2 linked regions of the Mytilus edulis genome follow. The protein of the gene in region 1 purifies or fractionates together with the protein of each later gene. This does not show direct contact. Links are inferred from orthologs where the notes say so. Each region holds a gene or a part of one and is shown on either strand. Other genes may lie near its edges.

What was found. Proteins that work in one complex are often made in the same cells at the same time.
Region 2: the proteins of nucleolar protein 58-like (region 1) and NHP2-like protein 1 fractionate together in Homo sapiens (co-fractionation; 3 studies listed by BioGRID and IntAct, with this or other methods). This does not show direct contact. The link is inferred for Mytilus edulis from reciprocal best matches to the Homo sapiens genes NOP58 and SNU13.

What each region holds. Positions count from the first base shown.
Region 1 is NC_092357.1:55,774,487-55,782,423, reverse strand, and holds the start of nucleolar protein 58-like, read left to right. Parts: upstream 1-4,915; 5' UTR 4,916-5,028; coding exon 5,029-5,073; intron 5,074-5,667; coding exon 5,668-5,744; intron 5,745-7,666; coding exon 7,667-7,719; intron 7,720-7,937. UniProt on the Homo sapiens protein: Required for the biogenesis of box C/D snoRNAs such as U3, U8 and U14 snoRNAs. Part of the small subunit (SSU) processome, first precursor of the small eukaryotic ribosomal subunit.
Region 2 is NC_092352.1:86,754,333-86,761,355, forward strand, and holds the start of NHP2-like protein 1, read left to right. Parts: upstream 1-3,999; 5' UTR 4,000-4,115; coding exon 4,116-4,118; intron 4,119-7,023. Other genes in the region: meiotic recombination protein DMC1/LIM15 homolog, read right to left, coding at 784-866, 1,137-1,232, 1,377-1,427, 2,175-2,219, 2,871-2,930.

The DNA.
Region 1 (7,937 bases):
CGGTTTTAATGACATATACAGGTAAATGAAAAATAACTTTTCTCGTTTTAGGTTTATACTACTATGTGTATACAATTCTTCCAATAATTAGGAATACCAAGAAAGTTCTGTCATATAAATACATAATTTAACACTAGATACAAATTGGGGTGAATATCAACAATAAATCTATACAATTAGAGCTAGCTAAAACTTCCCTGTACAGATTTAAGCAGAATAATCTTGAAGTTCATACATTGTCAAATGTAGTACGAAGAAGTGAAAATTAGAAGATATTCCAAATAATCAAAGCTGGTATATAGACAAGATCCATATTAATATAAACTAACAAAAACGCATTATAAAAAAATAACAACAGGTCGAATTAACAAGAAAATACGATTTGAGAGTACTCACAGTTAGTGGCAGCTAGTTAAAAGCCAAAAACAATTAATAATAAAAAATCATGCATCAGAGATTAATGTTTTTCTGAGTCCGTCTATGACTCTGCTAGAACAGCAGATCATATCTTCTCATTAAAGTCAATCGTAGATAAATATAAGACTAAAAAAAAAAGTTTTTGCAGTATTCATAGATCTGCGAAAGGCCTTTGATATACTGTCTGGAGCCGGGAGGGTTTATTCTACATCCTACTTCAAAACAGACTTCCAGGCAAGCTTTTTAATGTCATCCAATCAATGTATAATGAAAATAAATGCAGAATTAAATTTCAAAATGGTATTAGCCATGCATTTATATCAAATTGCGGAGTACTGAAAACAAGGAGATGTACTTGGCCCCACTTTATTTAATCTTTATATAAATGGCCTTGTAAATGACCTAGATCATGCAAACACTCAACCAATTTTTATAGGAGATGTTAAACTAACATCATTATTATATTCTGATGACATTATTCTATTGTCCGAAACCCAAGAAGGGCTAAATTTGTTCCCTATGGAAACTTGATGTAAACAAACAAAAATCAAAAATTATAATATTCAATTCTAATGGAAAATCTCATTGTAATTATTTTAAAGTAGAAAACGAACATCTTGAGACTTTTAAATCTTATTGTTACCTTGGAATAACTATGAATTGTTCATGAAGTTTAAGTCGTTCAAAAAAATTCTTATTGAAAAGGGAAGAAAGGCTTGGTTAAAAATTAAAATAAACAGTCTCTTTAGATAATTTCTGCAGTATGCTTGGAAAATTATTTGATACTTTAGTTGTTCCTATAAGTCTTTACGGAAGTGAAGTTTGGGGTGTAAGCCAGGGTTGAGTTCAATATCGTAGCAGCTACGTAGCGGCTATGTATAGCTGCTATCAATATTTATGTAACAACTATTATATAGCTTCACGTTCAATAGTGAAAATCTACACACTACGTAGCTGCTACGATATTTCACGCAGCCCAGGTGTTCAAAGATTCAGATCCATTTGAACATTTACATATTAAATTTATTAAAGAAATTTTAGGAGTACAGTGCAAAACAACAAATGTAGCCTGTTTAGCTGAGACAAACAGAACCCCTTTGTACTTTAAAATTCAGCTTTCAGCTATAAAATTTCTAAACCACATTGTGAACTCGCCTAACACTTTAGTCCATAAAATATATAATAATGTAGAGAAAACAAGTAAATGGGTTAACATTGTAAAAGACTGCATGGTTAAATAAATTAGGTTTTGGTCATCTCACTTTAGATACTATAATATTAATTTAAAATATCACATAAATACTATCCAACAAAGAATCTATAATATTAATTTAAAATATCACATAAATACTATCCAACAAAGAATCTTTGACCAGGCTTTTCAAATTATGAATTGTTAGATATCAATAAATGTGAAAAAATAAATTTCTTTTGTCATACTAAAAGAATTAGAAAATGGCCCCCATATGTCAGTAAATTTAAACTAAGTGTCCATTCCCTAGCAATTGAAAGAGGGCGTTATACCAACATTGATAGAAGTAAACGCATTTGCTTATCCTGTAACAGTCAAGAAATTGAGGATGAATACCATTTCTTCTCAATCTGTCCATACTATACATCATTGAGGGATACCTATATACAAAATATTAATAAAAATCTATTAATTTCAATTTTATTAAAATGCAGTCCGCTATAACACTGAAGCATTTGACTGCACTTTTAAATAGCAGTCTACCAGTCATTATTAAAATCACCATAAAGTATATTAATGATTGTTCTTTTTATTGAGAACATCTGTACAACTTGTATTTCTTTTAATATGCAACCTAATTTTTGTTAGGGTTCTTTCTTTGATTGTTCATGAACATTAATAATGTGTTAACTGTTGATATTTATAGCCTTTTTTTCTTCACTGTGAATACCACTGTCACTTTAATATGATTATAATCAATTTAACTATTGTCAGTTTATTGTCTTAATTTTGTATGCCATAACCATTTAATGTAAAGGTGTTTGTGCTAATAAATATTGTCTTGTCTAAATATTGTCTATCGAATAATTTGATTTAATTTTTGGTGTTTTAACGCCACTTTTAAACACCGCTTTTGGGCTATATCATGGCGGCAAGGTTTTTTTGGTGGAGGAAGCCGGAGTGTGCGGAGAAAACCATCCGATTGATAGGATAACTGACAATCCTAGTCAATTAAGATTGGAGTCGAATGCACCCGAACGAGCGGGGTTCGAACTCACAACCTCAGTGTTGACTGGCTAGTGATTACAGTAGTAACTGCTTTTTCTCTTGATTAAATTTTATTCAAATTATCAGGGCCGTAACTACCTATGAGGCAGGGGAGGCAGTTTGCCCTGAATTTTCTACACCAACATTTTTTTTTTGAAGTAAAAATATAAAATATTGACAATATGAATACGAAGAACTTGAATTTATATTATAAACAACACAAGTTAACAGTTTTAACAGTGTTATCATGATACGTGATATGTCTGTCATTTTTCGGATTTTTGATCGAAAGTAAAACCGTTTCAGTATTTGTTTTATTATTTTTTCGTGTGGCCGTCCGTCTGTTATTCGGAATTGAGGGGGTCAGTATTCGTATGAGAACACATATGAAACTTTGCTTTCGATAATTTTGAATAAAAACTTAACTATTCACATTTATTTTGGGGCTCAATTATTTAAGCAGAGGAAGTTCCTTTTGTATTGTGAATCTCTTAAGATATCGGAAATTCGTTACCGGCTGAATCAGCTGTTGGATCCTTTTTTTAAGTTTCCCGATCGTACGAGAACATTATGGTCAATGCCTTAATTAGTAGGTAAACACTCCCATTCGTTGTAGCAGGGACTTTCTATACTAAGTATATACTAGACTAGTATAGAAAGTCCCTGTTTTATGTTATATACATGTCTGTTCAGCTTTCAACAATATTGAAATTCAAGATCCTCGATAAAAAAAAATATCTTGTGTTTTATAATCTTGCTTATATGTTTTTTGAACTTTTCCAGTTTCTAAAAATATATCTTCAAATACAGAAAATACAGATAATAATTGTTTGCATGAAAATTGCTCCAGGGATCCAGCAAAACTGATCTTTCTTAAAGTAAGGAAATCGAAGGAAAACGGGTAATTTTTGCCATATCATTTGAGAAAAAAATCCACGGTCACAATGTATTTACTAATGTTAACAATTATAGGTCAAAGTACAGCCTTCAAGACGGAGCTAGCCTTGGCTCAACCCAAACAGCAATCTCAGCTTGTTTTTGCATACAAGTTGCTTCCAGGTTCAAGCAATACTGATGTTTCTTAAAGTAAGGAAATCGAAGGGAAACGGGTAATTTTTAGCCAATGACTGAGAGAAAAAGATCGGCGGGGGGCTGCGCCCCTACCCCTATCAAAGGGGGCTCAATCGGCGGTCCCCAAACCCCTGCCTCCCCTGAATTCGAACCCTAGTTACGGCCCTGATTATGTACAATAAAAATTCACTCGGCCACCGAGGCCCCTTCTATGTTGAATAATAAAACATGTACTAAAGCGTACTGTTTAAAGGGTGACATCTAACAAAGAACTAAACGATGACAATTGTTTAATTTTAAAGCAGGGTCAAAATGTGATTGCCTGTAGTCAGGAATCTGTAGCTCCGTGGTTGCCATTTGTCAGTAGTTCAGTGGTTCGAGGGTTGATATTTGAATCATTGGCAATCACACCACATCTCCTTTGTAGTATTACACTACATACAGGATGCCGCAGCGCTATGGTCGGCATACACGGATGTTGCATGGTTGAATACTGTTGATCAATAAAACACAAATTAAGGCAATATTCTGGTCGTGATAAGGGCATTGACTCTATATTGTATTCTTTATTTTAGGCTATTTGTTATACTTTATGTTTTACATAGTAATCTCAGTGTAGACGGAACGTGAATTTTGTATTTTAATAAGGGACGAAAGATACCAGAGGGACAGTCAAACTCATAAATCGAAAATAAACTGACAACGTCATGGCTAAAAATGAAAAAGACAAACAGACAAACAATACTACACATGACATAACATAGAAAACTAAAGAATAAGCAACACGAACCCCACCAAAAACTAGGGGTGATCTCAGGTGCTCCGGAAGGGTAAGCAGATTCTGCTCCACATGTGACACCCGTCGTGTTACTTATGTGATAACAAATCCAGTAAATAGTATAATTCGGTAGGTCACATTCATGAAAGGGAAGGGGATTGTAGTTACGACGTAAGGAACATATCCGATATCATTTGTGGAACGGTTAATAAGCATACATGTACATGTATATTAAATTTTTTTGATTATATTTATAACCCTAGCTGATATCTTTGAGTCTTTATAATATTTTAGTTTTTAAAAGAAAACTTATCATTCACTTTTAATGAATTTATTATATTCCGACTTAAAACCTGCTTTCTGTTTCATCTGACCAAGAACTGATACCGCACTCTACGTTATAATAGCCTCGACCATTTAAATGCCATCTAAATTCGTTTCTTCAATGTTTCCTTCGTAATTTGTATTAATCGTATTTGTAGGGAACCTCGTGGTTTGAAGCAGTGTTGTTGATATCTGCAAAATGTTGGTTTTATTTGAAACTGCAGCTGGATATGCAGTTTTTAAGGTAAATATTTTACGAGGGTCTTAATAATAATGCGATGTCAACAATCTGCAAATTAATTTACTCTCTATTTGGCTCCAGTGAAACATGCAAAATTCACCACGTGGTCTGGTCTGCATGCAAAAAAATATACACGTGTTTCTGCATTGCAGTGGGAAAAAAAGCTGTTGTTTGCTTAAAATGAAATAAAACTTTCATCTTTTCAGATTGACATCAATTGAAAGTTTTTTTCTGGACGATTTGACATAAAAATGCTATTGTATGTTGACACATGGACGCAAATTATTTGCTCATAGCATCCACTGGCTCCAGGCACAATCATTTTATAAGATAAATACCTGTATCAAGTATGGATTGTGGCAGTTATAATTTTCACTTAATTCCTAACTTATATATAGTCGGCAGCTTATGGTTTTGTGAGGTTTTTTGGACTCCCCCCATTTTTCAATTTATCTTGAAACATAAAGTTTGGCTCCAGCTCCTGGTCTCCCGACTTGTTTAGATTTACAGTAACCATCTTTAAAAAAGTAAATCATACTACTGCATACATGTTTAACAGAGAACTTGTTGTGATGTTTTTATGTGTACTAATTTTAGCTTCAAGATGAGAAAAAGCTGAGAGAAACAGAAAACTTATTCAAAGAATTTGAGACTCCAGAAAAGGCAACAAAGCTGTAAGAAATATGATTAAGAAATTGAATTAAATGTTTTCACCACAGAATTATAATCAAACCATGCAAACACCAAGAACACATTAAATTTTTCTCCAAGGCAAATTAAAATGTATATGTATGTGTGGTTTTAGACTTCAGTTATCTCACTTACCCTAGTTTAAACTCTCCAAACGCTATGAATTTTTGTTTTGCATTTCTTATTTAGATTAGAAATATCCACTATGTCTAAGTTAGCTGCGGAACCGTAGCTCTTAGGTCCTTATGTTATTTTTTGAATATTTGCGGATCTATGGTCCGCAAATAGTCAAAAAATAACATAAGGACCTAAGAGCTACGGTTCCGCAGCTATGTCTAAGTATGCAAAAATTTCTAAACAGAATGGAACAAAATCAACTAAAAACTTAATGTGACTGTCTATTTACTTTTGAATCAAAAGATAAAGGAGACGGTGAATTTCCGGTAGAAGCATTTATAATCCGAGAAATGGACTCTGTTTTTTTCCCATTTTTTCTAGATTTTGACAACTGAATAAAAAAGCCTGACATTTTTTTTCAGGAATACCTAAACACAAATTATTTAATAAATACACAGAAAATTACCAATTACTAAAAAAAATAGCATAAAATTCCTCTTAACATGCTCAATAAGCTTTACATTTTTCCTAAACAGTGGTTGTATTGTATGTTAATTTTGCATTAATTTTTTTATTTTGATATTATGAAAGCACTTTTGAGATCTAGGTTTCTGATTAGAATCATCACAGTGTTTGTAACACATGTGGTTTTAAATGCAGAAAGAACCTTCATTGTTTCAGTTTCTTCCAATCCCTTTATCAAAAAGTATTGAAAATGTCTGACAATCAAAATATATGTGAAAAAAAGGCAGCAAAGGGGTCAGCAAAAAGTCAGAGTTGTGCTTTTAAATTCAAACCATATTTATTTAAAAAAAAAAAAAAAAATTATGTAGTTTTTCCCTCAGACAACAGTTGAGGTAGTTTTGAAAAAAGACAACAATAAAACTACATTTGCATTTTAAAACGTAAGAAATGGTCATGATTTTTTTCAAAGAAATTGTCGGGTATTTAGGTAGTAAATGAATTAAATCCAAGTTATTCCTCATACTTATAACTTTTTAATTTGAAATTTTCCTCAGTTAAAATTCTCAATGGCCTACTTCGATTCGTCCAACTCGGGTTAATAGAGTCCATTGAGTTTACTCGACTGACAACCGAACACCCTGAGTTTGATTTTTTGAACCTACCCGAGTTAACTCGACATCAACCCTGGGGCGGGGCAGGTTTAGTCGAGTTTCAAGATGGCGTCAATTTGTTGCAACAAATAAAAGTGATACTAATAAACTGGTATTTGACAAAATACAGCCGAAGAATAAGGCTGATGTGGCGAATTTATTATTGCTGCTATTTTGGAATCCACAAATAATTTTAATTTGTTTATCAACTGTCGGTAATGTTATACATCAACAGAAATTGATGATTTTTTCTAAACAATTTTTTTCTCAACCGTTTTTAACGCACTAACAAATCTATTTTGCAAAAGCACACAGGATTAGAACTCTTTTCCTGAAACATAACGTTGTGTTTTTTTGTTATTTTAATACTCAGTTAAAAAGAATTTTTCCCATCCTTTACTCGATGGAAGAGTTTTGACTTCAATTGGTAAAGGTTGCTCACATGCGCATTAGCACTTGTCTTTTAACTCAAGTCATCCCGAGTTGGACGAATCGAAGTAGGCCATTTAGATCAATTTGAAATAATCTTTTATTTTTCATACATATGCATTTTTAGATAAATTTGTCGTCTTCGACCTTGTTATTGTCATGACTAATGTGTAAGAAAAAAAATGTATTTTGAAGGGAATGCATAGGAGGGAAGATCATCTAAATATATTTTTCTTAAATTTCAGATTGAAGCTGAAACACTTCAAGAAATTTAATGACACAACAGAAGCATTGGCATGTTAGTACATGTAGTTAACTTATTATCTAAAGATTTATATATTCTGTCATATACATTTACGGATAGAAACAACAACGTCTACTGGAATTTCATGTATTTCAATTTACCATCATGGAACTAATGCTTGTACTTCAATTGTTTATCATGCATCATGTAAAATTATGCATGATAAATTAAAGTACAAGTCAGCACTCATTTGAAAAACCAGATATTATAAA
Region 2 (7,023 bases), on another chromosome or scaffold:
CGATAACATCTTTTTTTATTACATCCATTGCAATCTTTTTTTTTAATAGAACATTGATATTTTGTTTGCTCTTGTACAAGGCCAAATAAAATAATATGTGCGTTTCCTATATTATCTTTGAAAAAAAAAGGGTAGGTAGGTAGATAGGGATTTTTTTATTTTACATTTTTTTACATTGAGTCTATGGGAGAAAAATTCTTACATTATAAACAATGATTATTGGAAAATGACCAAAAAAACTTTAAGGTAGGCTATTTCTAAGCTTAAAATATAGGGTACTACCCCGTAGGTAGGGAAAAAGGTAAACTCTTATTTTTTTATTTGGCCTAAACATCTATGCAGAGGTTTGTTATGAAATAATTAATTCCTAAATCACATATATTGTCAGAAGTGAAAATTTGTAAAACTTTTATAAATAATTGTGACCCTAGAGAGTCTTCATGATGAACTGTTAAATCTACATGCCCAGAGCTCAATTTTCCAATTTTTTTAGTTAGATTCTGTTGGCGGCCTGTAGATATGATTTTTACAGGCCCGAGAGCAATTTTACTAGCCTGGGCTGCCACTCAGGGTGAAGACTGCAGGCTAGATATTCTTTTGATTTGTAGGGACCCACCTGATATTTTCTCAAAATTAAAGATCCATGCAACATGTGCAAACAATTCTTTAATCAACTTCTAATCTCAGTTTTGTATAATGTATAGAAATATAAAAGATTTTACTTTGCTGTACACATAATGGTATAAAAATAAACAATGTTAGTATAACTAAAAAACTAATTACTCTAATTCTATGCTTCCAGTCGTTATTCTGAAGACAGCTTTTCTTTTATCTGAATACTCTAAAGCTGTCAAAAAACCTGGATCCTGGAAATACAAGAATGAAATGAGGCATCTGCTACTGAAATTAAAAAAAAAATAATAAAATTCTCCTCATTCATCATTAAACTGTTTGACTTTGAAATACTAATTTTTGACTTTTTCAACTGGACCAACTCACTCCTTTGAAAATTAATGCCAGACTTTAATCTTTTTCTGGTGTAACTATGTTCCCTACTTATATATATTTTATTCTTAAAACAGGGAGAACTAGTTTGGGAAAATATATTAGGATGATGACAGTAGGTTAATACATACACAGAGCTTATTTGCAGCTTCTTTGATTTTTTCCATTTTTGCTTCAGAAATTCCTTTTACAGCACAAAGTCTTTTCTTTGTGGTCATTTGGATTCCCTGTAATAATACAATTTTGCATATTTAATGGTTAAAATTTCAAAAAAGTATGAAGAGATAAAAGGTACAATATAATGCACTTGCTATTGTTTGAGATTTGATAATAAATAACGAAGTAGTACTTAAAGTTTATACAATACTTGCCTTTATGGTACATATTCCCACTTGCTTCAGTTTCTTTATGTCAGCTACATTCTATAAATTAAAAAAATAATTAAATGATGCAAATATAAATGACACAAAGTTTGGATGGGATTTCCTTGCTGCTTTGAAGACCCATTGTTGGTTGTGGGCTGTGGTTTGCAATTTGGGCGAGTTGATGTCTCTTTGACGCATACCCCAATTTCCTTTCTAACAATTCACATTGAAAAAAGGTTTGGAATATATTGGTTCCATTCCTTCATCTGTTTTACTAAAGCAGAGAATAATAAAAAAAAAAACTCCATATAAAATCTAACATATTTTCTAAGGCACCTATACTGTTTACATCCATTTCAAACATTGAACTGTGCTCAGCAGTAAAATCTTTCTACCTCAATCGTCTTTTGTGATTACAAAATACTTGTACACATGTCAGAGAAAAAGACTGAGATGTAGTTTGAACCTAGATAAGAAAAATTACCTCTTCTTGAAATTCAGAGTAGCAAAACTAGTTTGGAGACCATCTAAATATGTTTTGACTATAGGATGAATGTAAAATCATATAAAATTTCTGATATTGTAATAGAGTACACATTATTGTTCTTGTACAAACGCAACTTTAAACTTTTCTATACATTTTCCAACTGGGAACATCCTGAATTAACAGTATTTGGATTATAGCTGTTGTTAACAATTAAGATGCCCATCCCCCTTTTAAGCACTATAACCTTGATAAATGGTGCTAGCTATAATATATATCAACTATTCTATATTAAATGACTTATATCAGTTAAGACTTACAATTCCATGATTCTGCAGAAGATCTATGTCCTGGAAAAGTGATTCCTGAAATAGTAAATGATTAACGACATAAACACTCCCCTCAACTGGGACGTACTAGCTATCATTCTAAAAGAAATAGGAAGCTGAAGAACATAATATTAATTGAAACTGTCTTCTGGCATGTTATAACCTGTACTGTTGATTTGAATTTTCTCTACATTTTCAGCTCAACCATTAGAGTGCACTCCTTATATATATAAGAACAAATATGTATAAATGTAACATCACTGTAGGTCTATAGGTGAAAAATACTGATCACATCTATCAGCTGAGTGAGCGTTGCCTTGTCATCATTTGCATCTCATTTTATGTTAATATGTCCTTGAAAACAGATTAATAGACTTCTACTATACTTGCACAAATTCTCCACAATTAAAGTGGTGCACCTGCTATTTCATTTTTTGACACAAGCAATTGTGACACTAGGAATTTCTTATACCAAAACATTTTAAATGTAAATCATTTGTACAAATGTAGGTACGGTAGCAGCCAACACATTTTTTCCAAGGGAAAACTCATAAATTATATTTTAATATTTGTTTATTGTTATTCCAATAAAAATAAATAAAGAGACTGGACTAGAGTTTGCAGAGAGAGTAAATAATATGGTTAAACTAATTTCAAAGAGTTGTTACTCAATGCAAGGAGCCATACCTCTTCATCATCTTCATTCACAACTAATTCTTCTTCAACAACCTGGTCTTCCTGCTGCATGATTTTCTCTATAAAAAAAAATCTCGATTTTTTCAAAATCTCTTCAATAATTACAGCGTTATAATTATCATTGATTTCTAATCACTATCAGTGTCACCAAACAAATTAACAATGACCAAACTGGACACTTCATTGATGAGTTTATTCCAAAACACCTATCAGTAGATGGACTGGTCAATGATGAACGCACCGTTTTAACTCCGCCCAGTCAAGTGAAATAAATCAAGTAAGACATAATCTAAAAGCAATGTAAGGGAGATAATTCATATAAAACATTGTAATTAGTGTTGTTTAAATTTTTAATGTTTATTTATCAAACAAAACAAATTCTATAGCCTCAAATCACAAAAATTACTTCCCTTTGTCAATCGTAGAATGGTTCTATACTAGACAAAATTGGCTTTTGCCAATGCAAAGCAGTGGCAGATCGAGGGTGTGTGTTGAGGGTTGGAACCCCCCTTTTTTTTGGACGATCAATGCATTTGAATTAGGACATGTGGTTGGAACACACACCCCCCCTCCCTTTTCGTGGAAAAAATTTGGTTGATTATATAGGTAATCACTGAAGCATGACTGGATCGCCACCCCCCTTTTAGGTCAGTTAGCGGGCCCCCCTTAGGTCAAGTTCTGGATCCGCCACTGTCAAATATATTTCATTGCTAATCAAAGCACCCACAAGGAGCAGAACAATCAACATTAATTACATACAAATGATTACACAAGTGATTCAATTATATGATTAAGACACAATGTCAATGTTATAAAAAATATTTATTAAGACAAGTAGAAGAATACAACAACTTGACAAGCACAGTGTTTAATAATATATAAACTAGGTTAAAAAAAGGTTATTCATGAAGTTGATGCTTAGCTCTCAACTATTCAGATTTACAAAAACCTTGAAGTATGGGAAAACTAGAACAGTCATAAACTTTCTTACATAGTTCTTCTGCACGCCAGTTACCAACTTGCTCTTTCTGCTACAAAACTTGTCGTCTGCTAACACGTGCGAGATAATCGACGTCTTTAAAATGTTTGTATATTTATTTTAAGTCCGTAACAATAAACCCTTTAAATACGTCGATTGTTAAATCAACATCCGGTTTTTAACACGAGGCACAAACGAAAACATTACCACGAGGCCCAGTGAAGCTTTCAGCCGAGGGAATATTTTGAACAACAATCATGGTAAAACACCTTTACAATATAGTATTTTTGTCACAACCTTAATATGCTTGAATTGAAATTTTATTTGTAATAGAAAACATCAACCAAAAGGCGCATTTCAACCTTGAAAAGATTGATAAATGATTTGTTAATAAAAAAAAAGGGGGGTCGTATGGTATACTTTCTTTCAGAGGTAGCATTAAAAAAAGAAAGTTATTAACTGGCGTTCCCAAAGTATAATGTCCATAACCATATAATAATAACAATAAAGCTTGATATAACAAAGGTAGCTCATTTAATTATTAATTTAATAATACCAATGACATGTCAATCTTTAATACCTGAGGCCTTTTCGAATGATGACCTCAGCATACACATGGTATGATCTATTAACTTATCAGAAAATTATATACTATCATGCATGTTATTCAATCCATCTTGTATGGGAAAGGATTTGTATAGGCACTGCCTTTTGTCCAATCCCTTTGTTTAAATGTACATTTGATATTTGAACAATAAAATATTGGCACTGGCTACGGTTACATGGAAATGTAACAATAATAATAATATTATTGTTACATTGGAGACTAAATGCCGAAACGCAAAGTCGGGTAAGGAACCGATTAATTACGAATGTAACAATAATTACTGAGGCTACGGTTACATTGCGTTATTGTTACACGAAAAACAGCAATATACGATGGGTCTATTAAAATGTACAAGATAATAAAAAAGACATTTATTTTATATTTACAATACTATAGTGTTATTAACTGGCTGTTTCTGTATTGGCACTGGTATAGATTCAAGGTTTGCTGTATTGGCCTCGAGACCTGTAGGGTCGAGGGCCAATACAGCTGACCGAGAATCTATACCAGTGCCAATACAGAAACAGCCAGTTCATAACACTTTTATTAAATGATTATAAGAGAATTAAAAACCGGAAGTGAACGTCCCGTATTAGCCCATGGGCCAATACAGCTTTTTTCCCGCTTTTTTCTGTATTTGCCCTGTTTTTTCCGTTTGAAAACATTAAGACATTACAAAACATTGCACATCATTTAACCTGTTTATTTTATGACTTTAATTTAAAAATTATTATACAAATGTTTTTATGCATAACGATACTTCAAGAGTAAAGTAATGGCGTAAGAAAATTGAAAACCGGAAGTGAACGTCCTGTATTGCCCTAGGGCTAATACGACTTTTTTCCCGCTTTTTTCTGTATTGGCCCTGTTCGAAGAGCAATATTAACTCTTGATTTATATCGACAGTGGAACGTTTTTAGTATTGCACATGCTGATTTATCCGTATTAGGGCTTATTTGCTCATATCATTTAATAAATACAATTATTAAATATAAATTCTTTAATTATTTATTTGCAATGACATTTTCTACATATCCAGTAAGTGGTTTTTGGAGCATTTCTAAGTCCGACACATTTTTGGTGAAACCACTCCAAGCAGCCATCACACACCAGTGATGCCGCACTGTGAACGTCCGTATCACACACTGTACAGTTCCATTCTGCGATATCCCGTTTTGATGATAAGGCAACCTTTCATGTTTGCCATGCTTCCGATGAGAAATACTTTTTCACTCTAGCAATGTTTATATTCTCATCTAATATTTTGGTTGGAAACATGTGATGTAGTTTTATGTCATCTTTCAGTATGGTCACATTGCCGTCCATTACGGATGTAAGGTTTACCTCGGATTTCAGTATCCAACTTAGCATAGCTGAAAAAAACAATAAATTATAAAAATGCAAGTCAAAAGTCAAAAGTTCATCAAATACTAATAAATAGTGAATTATTTTCCATTATTCAAACTGACATCGCCATGGCTAAAAAGTAAAAAGGCAAAACATACAAATAAAAGTAAAAAAAACACAACATGGAAAACTACAGACTAAGAAACACGAACCCTATCAAAAACTGGGGGTATATCAACTGTCCATTTTTTTAAAAAGTTATTTACCTTCTTCTTTTTCCTTTGGTCGTCTTTTAAGAAACGGCATGACTCTCTTCGTACTTTTGGGCAATCCAACGACGCAATCTCGCATGAATATAATGACCCATTGATATTCGTTTATAGGTTAAACTTAACTTACCTTTGGTTTGGACGAGCTCCATCTGATTTTGAAACGACATTACGTCCTCCGTGGATACATGTATACAGAAGTTCACAGTATTTTACTTCACAGTTAGCAAACTTTGCTATAGATGAATCATTTTTTTTAGAACTGTGTTTGTATAGCTGAATGAAATTTGTGTCTTGATATTGTTTCAGTTTTGTTTCAAACGAATCCCAAGTTTTAAATTGTTCACCCAAAACAAAATTGGTCACAGGAATCTCTTCATCCATTGTGTAAAGTAAAATGACAGTTATACGAGTAGGTGTGCAGTTAAATACTTAAACTAAAGTGAACACTTTTCTCAGCCCGAGTTCTCAACAACAAATCATTGGACTATATTTTCGCCTTTGGCACTACTTATCTAAAGTAGTATCTTTAAAACACCAAATGTGACCATTTATACGTTAAAAAGACCAATTTAAACACCATTTGTTAATCGATAATATTTATTACTTATCATTATTACAAGTATTATTTCGTACAGATGCAAGATTAAGGCAACCGTTAAACCATAGAAGATTTAAGTTTAATAAATCGAGCGTACATTGCTGTTTTTCATGTAACAATAACGCAATGTAACCGTAGCCTCAATAATTATTGTTACATTCGTAATTAATCGGTTCCTTATCCGACTTTGAATTCCGGCATTTAGTCTCCAATGTAACAATAATATTTTTATTATTGTTACATTTCCATGTAACCGTAGCCAGTGCCTAAAATATTTTGAATTGAATACACATGGCATACACTCAAAAATCCTTATTATAGACCTTAAATAAGAAAGCGCA